2 linked regions of the Caenorhabditis elegans genome follow. The protein of the gene in region 1 interacts with the protein of each later gene in a pairwise test. Each region holds a gene or a part of one and is shown on either strand. Other genes may lie near its edges. The genes, in order: math-34 and alh-8.

Region 1 (7,472 bases):
CCTACCACGAATTTTCTCGAATTTTCAAGAAGGTTCTGGAACATTCCAGAATTTTCTCAAATTTTCCAGAAGGTTCTGGAACATTTCGGAATTTTCACAAAGTTTCCAATATCCCTTCAATAGATGAAAAGTCAATTTTCCCAAACTACAGTAATCCTACAGTACAACTACAGTACCCCAACCATATCCCACCACTAACCCCAAAGCAATATCACTTCAAAAGACGAAAAGCCAATTTTTCCCAAACTACAGTAATCCTACAGTACTCCTACAGTACCTCTACAGTACTACCACAGTACCCTGACCATATCCCGCCACTAACCCCAAAGCAATATCACTTCAAAAGACAAAAAGTCCATTTTTCCCAAACTACAGTAATCCAACAGTACTCCTACAGTACTCCTACAGTACCTCTACAGTACTACTACAGTACCCTGACCATATCCCGCCACTAACCCCAAAGCAATATCACTTCAAAAGACAAAAAGTCCATTTTTCCCAAACTACAGTAATCCTACAGTAACCCTACAGTACCCCTACAGTACTACTACAGTACCCTGACCATATCCCGCCACTAACCCCAAAGCAATATCACTTCAAAAGACAAAAAGTCCATTTTTCCCAAACTACAGTAATCCTACAGTAACCCTACAGTACCCCTACAGTACTACTACAGTACCCCGACCATGTCCCCCCACCAACCCCAACCCATGATCCCTTCCACAGCCCGAAACACCTTTCAAGTGTGACGTCACCGACTACAAACTACAATTGTAACATCCCCCATGTATTTTTTTATATATAAGTAATGATAAATCACAAGAGAATTTTCTCAAATAAATCAATAAATTATGACTTCAACTCCAAGGCTCTAGTTATCAAGGCCTCCAGCAACGGCCTGTCCAATCCGCCGAGCTTCAAGTCGCTGACAATCTCTGCGATTTGTTCAGATGTCGTCATATTTGATAAGCAGTGATTCTGAATTTTTTTGATTTTTTTTTCCTTCAAAATGAAGTTCTCGCTACCTTCAAATTATCCAAATTGAACTCCATTGCGATTCGGAGCATCTCACTTGTAGATTTTTTGGATTTCGACGTCAAAAACTCCTCGCACTGGTAAATAGTTATCAGGTCTTCTTGTTCGGTGGCAGATCTCAACTTGGTGTTCACATTTTCGTCTGTAGAATGTACTGTGCAAGTAATAGGGTGATCAGGAGCTTACCAGTGATCGCAGGGCTTTTCAAAGTGTCATTTTTCAGCTGTTGTTTCGATTTTAGAGCCTGAAAAATTAATGGGGTTATTCCTGTGATATCGAAAAATTCAAAAATGTAATTTTACATTTTTGACATTTTTGGCACATTTTTTGGCATTTATCGACATTTCCCCTACATTTTTTGACATTTTTCTACATTTTTCTACAATTTCCGACATTTTTCTGAATTTTTTCGCATTTATCGACATTTTTCTACATTTTTCTACAATTTTCTACCTTTTTCTACATTTTTCGACATTTTTCTATCAGGTTGTCCCATAAGTTTTTGTACTTTTTTTCAAATATTTTTCCAAAACTTCTAGAAAGTTTTAAAATTTTTTCATCGTAGGTCGTGTCAAGGTCGGGTCGTCCCCTTTCAGAAAAGATTCATTTCATCCATTTCTACTTTGCCACGATGACAATCATCAAACTTGAACGTCGAGACGTTAGATTGCTTCTTCTTTATGAATTTCGTCTTGGTCATTCAGCAATGGAAGCGGAACGAAACATATGCGGTGCGATGGGTGAGGGAGCACTCTCTTATAATACAGCAAAGAGTTGGTTTCAAAAGTTCAAGAACGGCGACTTCAGTCTCGAAGAAATAGAACGTTCTGGGCGACCGGTAGAGTTAAATGAAGAAGACCTAGTGAAGCTGGTGGAGGAAGAGCCTCGTCTTAGTCTTCGTGAAATGGAAGAGAAGCGTGAGTGTTGTCATAGCACAATTGCACGTCACTTGGGTCGCCTTGGTTTTACTTCAAAACTTGGAATTTGGGTGCCTCATGAACTTTCGGCATCACAGAAGCTCACTCGGGTCAACGTTTGTACTCAACTTCTAACTTTTCGTCGAAAGTTCGATTGGCTGAACAATCTGGTTACTGGAGATGAGAAGTGGGTGCTCTATGTTAACCATTCCAGAAAACGTCAATGGCTTCCGATCGGTGAGAAAGGAATACCGACGCCAAAGCCTGATCTTCACCCAAAAAAGATTATGATCTGTGTCTGGTGGGGTGTTCAAGGACCCGTGCACTGGGAATTGTTGCCAACTAATAAAACTATCACTGCTGATTACTATTGTGCCCAATTGGACCGAGTTGCAGAAAAGACCAACGGAAAATATGAAAAACTATATTTTCTTCACGATAATGCTAGGCCTCATGTCGCCAAGAAGACTTTCCAAAAGCTGCAAGATCTTGGTTGGACTGTTTTACCGCATCCACCATATTCTCCAGATCTTGCACCAACCGACTACCATTTGTTCTTGTCTCTCAGTGACTACATGCGCGACAAGCAATTCGACGACGAAGAGCATCTCAAAACTGAACTCTCCACTTTCTTCTCATCGCGTTCGCCGGATTTCTTCTCCCGTGGCATCATGATGTTACCTAGTAAATGGCAACAAGTGGTGGACACTAATGGTGAATACTTGTGTGAATAGTACTACTTGTCGCTTGAGAGAAATAAATTTTTTTCAAAAAAAAAATAGTACAAAAACTTATGGGACAACCTGATACATTTTTCGGTATTTTTCGACATTTTTTCTATATTCGTCGACAGTTTCCCCTACTTTTTTTTTGACACTTTCCCCTACATTTTTTCGACATTTTTCGACATTTTTCGACATTTTTATACATACATTTCTCGACATTTATTGACATTTTTCTGAGCTTTTCGACCTGTCACTGACTAAGGCTGGCTCCTCCTGAGAGCTTACCCAGACCAAAAGCTCACCGATTTCAATTCACGTTCCATGTTAACCTCCGCGCGTTGATCAGCCTCCTTCTCCATCTTCTCATTCATCAGTGTCAGCTGCTTCACAACATCACCAAGCGTTCCAATGTCAGAACTCAGATCTTTATTCCTTGTATCCAAGTCTTTAATTCGTTTTTGAACTGTGGTAGATCTACCAAATTTGCTTCTAACTCCAATATCAATTATTGATCCTGCTTTCGAATTCTCATTTATCAAGTTGTCGGGGATTCTTAATTTTGACTCGAAATCCTCAAGTTCTTCTGGTTTCTGAAATGGAAAAAAATTACGGAGACCCGGAAAATGTCGGTCGCAGCATAACTTACATCATCATTGATTCCAGAAGCATCTAGTGTTCCTGCTCCTGAGTTCTCATTTATCAGGTTATCGAGCACTTTCAGTTTTGATTCGAAATCTTCAATTTCTTCTAACTTCTGAATCAAAGTATGGGAGATTGTTCACCTTTTCTATTTCAGCGCCCGACTCCTCCCGGGTTACCCGGAAAATGTCGGCCGCATGACTATGACTTACATCGCCCTTCAACGTCTGCTGCTTTGGAATGAGGACGGAATCGATAACATTAACACGAGCTTCAACCTTCAATGCTCCATCGACAAGAAAATCACCAACAGACTCCCAGTCAAAGATCTCTTTCCCCTGAATGCAGTACTGTCCGTAGATTTTTGACTCGAACACGGCATCTGAAAAATTTCTATCATGGAATCCTTATTATGAATGACCCACCTTTCAACTTTTTGGCGAATCGATTTCCATTTTCCGATGATATAACCAGATCAATTTCTGCTCGAAGTTTGCGGAAATCTTGACCGAACTTTTGTCTCCAGGTTATGCCGACGCCAATATAATCATCCCTGCGCATTAAATGGATCCTCCTGAAGTACAGTTTAGATTACTGGAAATCGTGTAACAGTCTTAAAGGAAGCAAATTGATTTGTCGAAAAAAACGGCAAATCGGCAAATTGCCGGTTTGCTGATTTGCCGGAAATTTTCATTTTCGGCAAATTGCCGGTTTGCTGATTTGCCGGAAATTTTCATTTTCGGCAAATTGCCGGTTTGCCGTTTGCCGGATATCAGATTTGCCGGATATGTTTAGAGGGATTTTTAAAAGACGGAAACACCTAAAACTGTGTCTATTTGAATTTTTCCGATTTTTTTTACACATTTTCATAGAATTTGTTTTTTTTTCAAAATAGATGTAGGAACATTTATAGGATGCGCACAATTTGGCCGATTAAAACATATTCGGCAAATTTGCCGATTTGCCGATTTGCCAGAAATTTTCAATTCTCGAAATTTCCCGGTTTGTCGATTTGCTGGAAATTTTCAATTCCGGCAATTTGCCAATTTGCCGATTTGCCGGAAATTTTCAATTCCGACAATTTGCCAGTTTGCCGATTTGTCGGAAATTTTCAATTCCGACAATTTGCCGGCTGGCCGATTTGCCGGTTTGCCGATTTGCCGGAATTTTTCAATTCCAACAATTTACCGATTTGCCGATTTGCCGGAATTTTTCAATTCCAACAATTTACCGATTTGTCGAATTGCTGGAAATTTTCAATTCTCGCAATTTGCCGGATTGCCGATTTGCCGGAAACTTTCATTTTTGGCAAATGCCGGTTTGCCGATTTGCCGGAAATTCTCAATTCCGGCAATTTGCCAGTTTGCCGATTTGCAGGAAAAAATCGTTTGCCGCTCATCCCTGGTCTAATGTGATAGAATTAAAGGCTTTAGTCTCAAATGTCCTAAAGCTAGAGTACTTTTAGAAAATGGGCCTAAAAGATAAAATTCTGAAAATATGGGTCTCGAAGCGATAGGGGCTTGACTCACCACCAGTAGTTCAAATGTGACCCCTTCTCGCTGTACATTTCGTCCCCTGGCCTCATGAACTCTATATTCTTAAAAACATTCTCCATCTCAAACTCGCCAACTCCGGACTCTTCAACTTCCAGACCCCCCAGATGAGCCTGCACCTTGATCTTCCCATCCACCAGGAAATCATTCTCGATGGACTCCCATCCAACAATTCGCTCGATTTTTCTGTCAACTTCTGACTTGTCAAACTTGAAGCAGGAGCCATCGAATTGTTTTGCCCAGCGATTTCCGTTGAGAGATATTAAAATGAGTTTTAGATTTGTTTTCACTTGCTCCACGTTTTTCTTGCTGGAGCACTCCAAGGAAAGCCACAAAGAGTCCTCGGAACGGGTGATGCCAAGTGTCCTGGAATATTAATATGACTTGAAATTTGAACTTTAATACTGGGTAAGCCATAATTACAGATAAAAAAATAATTTTTTTTTTGATTTTTGATATTTGGTAAAGTTTGAAAAAAATATAATAATACCATTTAAAGTCTCCAAAGCTCTCGGAGTTGCCTGTCAAGGAAGCGTTATCTTCTAAGCCGTCAACATATTCAAATTCATGTTGCAGAAGGAAATCTGCCATTTTTACGGGAGCTCTGAAAAATGATGAGAACTGGATTAGCAATGAACCCAAATTCAAAAAAAGAATAAAAAAATCGCCAAAATTTCATCTTAAAAAATAACTTAACAATAGCAAGAAGTCACAAGGAAACATAAAATATTTAATAGATAGGAGTTCCAACAAAAACGAAATGACAGGAGAAACGGCGGTAAAATGTGCTTATCAGTTTCAGTGATCATTTCACGGAACTATCAGTCAACAAGGTGATGGGAATTTTTTGAAGTTATCAGAAATTTGACGGGAAATTAAATTTCTGGAGTAATATTTTTAGCGGGAAATTTTTTTTTCAGGAAAAAAAGTTTAACCGGAAATTCAACTTTTACTGAAGAAAAATTATGGCGGAAAATCGAAATTTAAAAAAAAAATTGTGGCGGTGTGGTTTTTTCTTGTAATAAAAATATTAGAGAAAAAATTTTTGGCAAGACTTTTCAAATTTCAAAGTTGTGAGAAAAAATTTTGGCAGAAAATTCAAAATTTTCTGAGAAAGCATTCTGATAGAAAATTAAATTTAACTGAAAAAGAATTCTAGCGGGAAATTCAAATTTTTGAGAGAAATTTTTGATATGAAATTATTTTTTACGAAAAAGCTTTAATAGTTTTAACCCGAAATTCTTTTTTTTTTTTGAGAATAAATTTTGTCGCGAAATTTAAGTTTTAATAAGAAACGTTTTTGGCAAAAAACTAATATATATATATATATTTTTTTTTTTTTGGGCTGAAAATTCAAATTTTCTAACACTGAGACAAAATTCTGGCGTAAGCTTCAATTTTTTAAAAAAATGATTTTGGCAGGAAATTCAAGTTTTCTGAGGAATTTTTCTAAGAAAATCTTTTGGCGGGAAACCAAATATTTATTCAAAAAAATTATAGTGGAAAATTGAAATTTTCGTGAAAAGAACATCAAGGGGAAATTTAGCTTTTTTGAAACAACAAATAGTGGCGGGGAATTAATTTTTTGAGAAACAATTTTTGCAGAAATTCAACTTTTTTGAGGAAAATTTTTTTGGCGGGAATTCAAAATGTATGAAAAACCATTTTGGCGGGGAATTAAATTTTATTTTAATAAACATTTCTGGTTTGAGATTATAACTTTCTGAAAAAAAAGTCTGCGGAAAATTCTGAGAATCTTATTAAAATTCGACAAAAAAAATAACCGACAATAATTTATTTGAAAATTGATAACATCTTCCAAATAAAATCAAAAAATTAATCAATACAATTATCAACTTTGAACTAATTCATCATACCGCCAAACTCTCATCTCAAAAGTTAAATGTTGCACTTCCACCTCATCATACCACAAAACGATCGTAGCTATCGTTCCATCCGCGTTTTCAACATCTACGCCACCCTTCAACTCCACAATTTTCTCATGTTTCCAGTGATAACTTCCACTATGGCCATTGATCCGATAGGTGCCACGAAGAGCACCCGGACCCGGTCCATCGTGAAAATTAATCCCTTTCAATAAATACCAGTAAGTCATGAAATGTTCTCTCAAATCAGTTGTTGCATTGATTGTGAGATACTCAAGGTTCGGGTTGGATCCTCGTATCCAATGCTTCATGAACAGGTTGAAATCCTTATCGGTGAACGGTGAAGTGTTCGGGATTTTTATACAAGAGCTGCCGCATGAGAGAAGGTCTTCCAGGGTGAATAGAAGAGTTGGCTTAAGAACTAGTCTGTCGAGGTTCTGAATGAAAACTTTCTGATAATCCTGTGAGTCTCTGTACAGACAGTTTCGAATTAGAACTTGATTCGCAGATGGTAAGTTGGCCCAGAAGAGCTTCGAAGCCAATTCATCGAATCTTGGGGTTGCCGATGAGAAATCAACAGCTAAAAGCCTTATGTCAATCCCCTCCAGAACCCTTGTTAGACCTTCAATGTCTAAATTCCTGGAGTCCAAGGGAGTTGTGAGACTAAAATCGATCCTCTGAATCGCCAGCACATCCATCAAGAATTCGAGCCAAGAT
Region 2 (4,448 bases), about 11 Mb from region 1:
CATTGGGTCAAGAGAGTCGATCTACCGCGAAGACGGGGCTCGAGGAAAGGCGAAGAGAAATCTGGCCCGTTCAATGTTCGACACGACTCGACACATGCTTTACCTGGACTTTTCAGCTCCTCCATTCTACGATATCGAGCAAATTTACTTGCATGGCATTTTCAGCGGTAATCACTTGCTTAATAAGCCTGCCTTTTAATCATAATTTTTTATTTTCAGATCGATTCGACAAGCTGCACATCGCAAAGTACACTGGCCACGCTGTGAATGGACTGTTCGATTGGGTCGAGGATCCATACACCGATGCAGTTTACTACAAGGAGCGAATTAATGGCCACGTGGAGATGTTCCAAGCAAAAATCAAAGATGTCGTGCCGATTATCACCGGAAAAATGGCTGGACGACGAATCGAAAATTCCTTGTTGAGCGGCGAACTCCAAGGTGTCTCGAACGGAGTATTCTACGAGACGAGTGTGAGAGATGTCAACGAAACGCATCAGACCCTGTCCTCAACGCTGACAACACTCGATTCGGAATGGAGTATCACTTGTAACGCGGAGACGATTTACAGTGTTGTTCCGAAGACCAACAAGCTCCTCATCATCAGGTTTTGAAGAAATCATCGATCTTCGAATTTAATATTCATAATTTCAGGGCCAACGATTATTGCATGTTGAGAGATGGAAAGAATTACAACAAGGAGAGCTGTGAAAACGAGCAGGCAGACTACCTGGCTCGCAATAATCCGTCTGAGGTGAGCTGGTTGTGTTGAAGAAATTTATAAATTAAATATATTTCCAGACCGACAGCAATGTGAACGCGATGATGTGGCTGATCGTGTTCTGCGTCGTCTTAATCCTTCTCGTGATTCTCCAGTGCGTCTACATCTTTTGGCTCCGATCGTCCTTTGTCTCGGCTGACGAGGCCTCTCATCATCAGGATCAGGAGACTGAAGCCTCCATCTTCATCGCGAAACAGCGCAGCTTCCCAGCGAGTTTCCATGAGCCAGGACTTTTGGATGTCTCCGTCGACAAGTGGAATTAAATCATTTTTATTTGAATTTATAGCATTCTCGTTCTTTTTCAATCTTTTCTAGCCTTCTATCCTTCTAGACACTAGACACTGTCATATTCTCATCTCATAATTTTTAATTTTTTACTTTTTTTTTTGTCACATTTCCTAGCACTTTCTGTTTCTTTTTTTTATATAAAATTAAATATTCCGCATTTTTATTTGTTTTAATTAATGATCTTTATCTTAACGTTGTTTATTCACCAACACTATTTTATTTTTGTATTCGAGTTTTCGAGACGCATCGATCACGTTTCTCCAAGTGCACACGGGTCAAATGGTGGGCAGTTGCAGGTCTCTCCACGTGCTGTGGCCGTCTCTTAGTCTCTTGCACTATCACTTTTCCCACTCTCTGACTCTTTTTTATTTCTTTTTCTTCTTTTTTTGCTGAGAGAGAGAGAAAAGCAACTGTTCTTCTTCTTCTGTCCTATTTGCCACTCCTCCCGTCGTCTTATCAACAGCATTGAAACTTCAAAAACTCGCAGATAGAGCTTTTAACCTTTTAATTTTCAATGTTCGCGTGTATTTTGTGGCTTATTTTATTTATTTCTTAGTTCAAAATTCGAAACGTGATCAGTAATGTTTAGTTTTCATTCATTTCGCATTATCCGAATCGTCAGAACCACCACGCGACCGCCCATCTCTTGTGATTTTCAATTTTTCTTCTCGTGCGTTTTCAGTCATTATCTTCTAATTTTCAGCTCTAAAACTTGCGGTACCCCAGAATGTTGTCTCGTCTTGCTCGTGTTCAGGTAGGAGTTTCTTTTTATAATATTTTTTAACAAAAAATCGTGTACTTCACACATCACTTGCAGTCTGTGCGACAGTTGTCGTATGGGGTGACACATTGAAAAAGAAAACGAAAATCAAACAATCAAAACTTCAAAACTTCAAATAATATTCTAATTTCAGCCAAAATGCCAACAGCTCGCCCACTTCAGCACATCGAAGTCTGCTGCCGCCGCACCAGTGAGTTTCAGGCTTGATCTTAAGTTTCCAAATCCAAATTCCATAATTTTTCAGACTGTCAAGCTGTGGATCGATGGACAAGCTGTTGAATCGAAGACCACCGACTTCGTGGAGCTCACCAATCCAGCCACCAACGAGGTCATCGCTATGGTGCCAAACGCCACCCAAGCTGAGATGCAAGCCGCTGTTGACTCGGCCAAGAATGCCTTCAACACCTGGAAGAACACGTGAGTCTTGAATCCCGTGTGATCTTTTTTTTTTATTTCAATAATAGAAGTTTCCAGATCCCCACTGACCCGTCAACAATGCATGTTCAAACTTCAAGCCTTGATCAAGAGAGACATGAAGAAGCTCGCTGAGAGCATCACCATTGAGCAAGGAAAGACCCTTCCAGATGCCGAGGGAGACGTCAGCAGAGGTCTTCAGGTCGTCGAGCACGCTTGCTCCGTTCCATCCCTGATGATGGGAGAGACCCTTCCAAATGTCTCTCGCGACATGGACACCCACTCCTACAGAATCCCACTTGGAGTCACCGCCGGAATCTGTCCATTCAACTTCCCGGCTATGATCCCATTGTGGATGTTCCCAGTCGCCTTGGCCACCGGAAACACTATGGTCATCAAGCCATCCGAGCAGGATCCAGGAGCAGCTCAGCTTCTTGTCGAACTTGCCAAGGAGGCCGGAGTTCCAGATGGATGTGTCAATATTATTCACGGACAGCACTCTGCTGTTAACTTTATCTGCGATAACCCAGATATCAAGGCTATCTCATTTGTTGGAGGAGATGCTGCTGTAAGTTTTTTTGAATTTGTTTTTTATGAACATTAATCAATTTTCATGATTTTTTCAGGGAAAACACATCTACGAGCGTGGAGCCAAGAACGGAAAGCGCGTCCAATCCAACATGGGAGCCAAGAACCACGGAGTCATCATGGCTGATGCCAACAAAGAACAGACCCTCAATCAGCTCACCGCTGCCGCCTTCGGAGCCGCCGGACAACGCTGCATGGCTCTCACCACCGCTGTGCTCGTCGGAGAAGCTCGCGCCTGGCTCCCAGAACTCGTCGAGAAGGCCAAGAACTTGAAGGTCAACGCTGGATGGAAGCCGGATACCGACATCGGACCACTGATCTCCAAGCAATCCAAGGCCCGTGTCCTCCGTCTTATCGAGAGTGCCAAGAAGGAGGGAGCTCAGGTTCCACTTGATGGATCCAATATCACTGTTCCAGGATTTGAGAATGGAAACTTCGTGGGACCAACGATTCTCGCTGGAGTCAAGCCAAATATGACTTGCTACAGAGTAAGATTTTGTTTTTTTTTAAATTTGTTTAATTTAATATTTAATTTTTTGTAGGAAGAAATCTTCGGCCCAGTCCTTGTCGTCATGGAGGCCGAGAACTTGAACGAGGCCATCGAAATCATCAACAACAACCCATACGGAAACGGAACGGCCATCTTCACCAGCAACGGAGCCACCGCCAGAAAGTTCACCAACGAAGTCGATGTCGGACAAATCGGAATCAACGTGCCAATCCCAGTTCCACTCCCAATGTTCTCGTTCACCGGCTCGCGTGGTTCATTCCTCGGAGATCTCAACTTCTACGGAAAGGCCGGAATCCAGTTCTACACTCAATGGAAGACTGTCACTCAATACTGGAACGAGTCGCTCACCGAGCTGAAGCCACAAATGTCGTTCCCACAGCTCAAGTAAATTGAAATTCTGTGAATTCTGAATTCTCTCATCCATCCCCACACACAATCACTTCTTGGTTCTTTTATTCTTGTTCAATAACGTTTATTGCCATGGTTTTTTGCAACCTCTCATTTCTTGTTTGTTCATATATAATACACATTTTATCATAAAAGTGACGATTAGACCCGTAAATGGAATGGGGGAAAATAATCACAGTTCAGAGAGAATCGTATTCGAATGATTGAAATCATAATCAAAACGTGGATAGTAACTATTCGGATCGGCAATCTGTTTATCATTCCGTTTGGAACGAGCCGCCGTGGGTTCGTCGATTTCCAAATCCGATTCCTCATCCTCCTCACTATTTGAAGTTGGATCTAGCGTGACGGCGATTATGATTATACCTGGAAAATATAAAATATTATTGGGACGTAGAAAAAATGCCCAATCAACGTGAAAACGCCCTCCACGGCAAATTGAAAACGCTCCGCCTCCTAACCGTGGGTCTCATTAGGTATTCTACCAAAATTCAGCATTTTCAATTAGCTTCAAGTGGTAACTTTCAAGTTACCAGTTTTTCCTAACGAGACCCAACTATTTGAGGCGGAGCGGTTCCAATTGGCCGTGGAGCGCATTTTCTGCGTCTTCATAATAATCTAACCTGTGATAAGAAGAGCAACACTGATAAGTGATACGATAAGCACCAATGCTACCG

Evidence for each region.
Region 2: the proteins of math-34 (region 1) and alh-8 interact in a two-hybrid assay, tested with the Caenorhabditis elegans proteins (one large-scale study listed by BioGRID).

Annotation. Positions count from the first base shown.
Region 1 is NC_003280.10:1,026,975-1,034,446, reverse strand, and holds math-34 (MATH domain-containing protein), read right to left. Parts: upstream 5,476-7,472; 5' UTR 5,461-5,475; coding exon 5,360-5,460; intron 5,236-5,359; coding exon 4,846-5,235; intron 3,891-4,845; coding exon 3,742-3,890; intron 3,699-3,741; coding exon 3,529-3,698; intron 3,432-3,528; coding exon 3,324-3,431; intron 3,268-3,323; coding exon 2,980-3,267; intron 1,280-2,979; coding exon 1,222-1,279; intron 1,178-1,221; coding exon 1,026-1,177; intron 979-1,025; coding exon 850-978; 3' UTR 782-849; downstream 1-781. Other genes in the region: M01D1.12 (F-box associated domain-containing protein), read right to left, coding at 6,722-7,472.
Region 2 is NC_003280.10:11,727,283-11,731,730, forward strand, and holds alh-8 (putative methylmalonate-semialdehyde/malonate-semialdehyde dehydrogenase [acylating], mitochondrial), read left to right. Parts: upstream 1-1,772; 5' UTR 1,773-1,796; coding exon 1,797-1,823; intron 1,824-1,983; coding exon 1,984-2,040; intron 2,041-2,094; coding exon 2,095-2,267; intron 2,268-2,314; coding exon of another isoform or gene 2,315-2,324; coding exon 2,325-2,832; intron 2,833-2,890; coding exon 2,891-3,340; intron 3,341-3,394; coding exon 3,395-3,751; 3' UTR 3,752-3,916; downstream 3,917-4,448. Other genes in the region: F13D12.5 (uncharacterized protein), read left to right, coding at 1-167, 220-607, 655-754, 802-1,044; F13D12.8 (Col_cuticle_N domain-containing protein), read right to left, coding at 3,944-4,137, 4,395-4,448. UniProt on the Caenorhabditis elegans protein: Probable malonate and methylmalonate semialdehyde dehydrogenase involved in the catabolism of valine, thymine, and compounds catabolized by way of beta-alanine, including uracil and cytidine.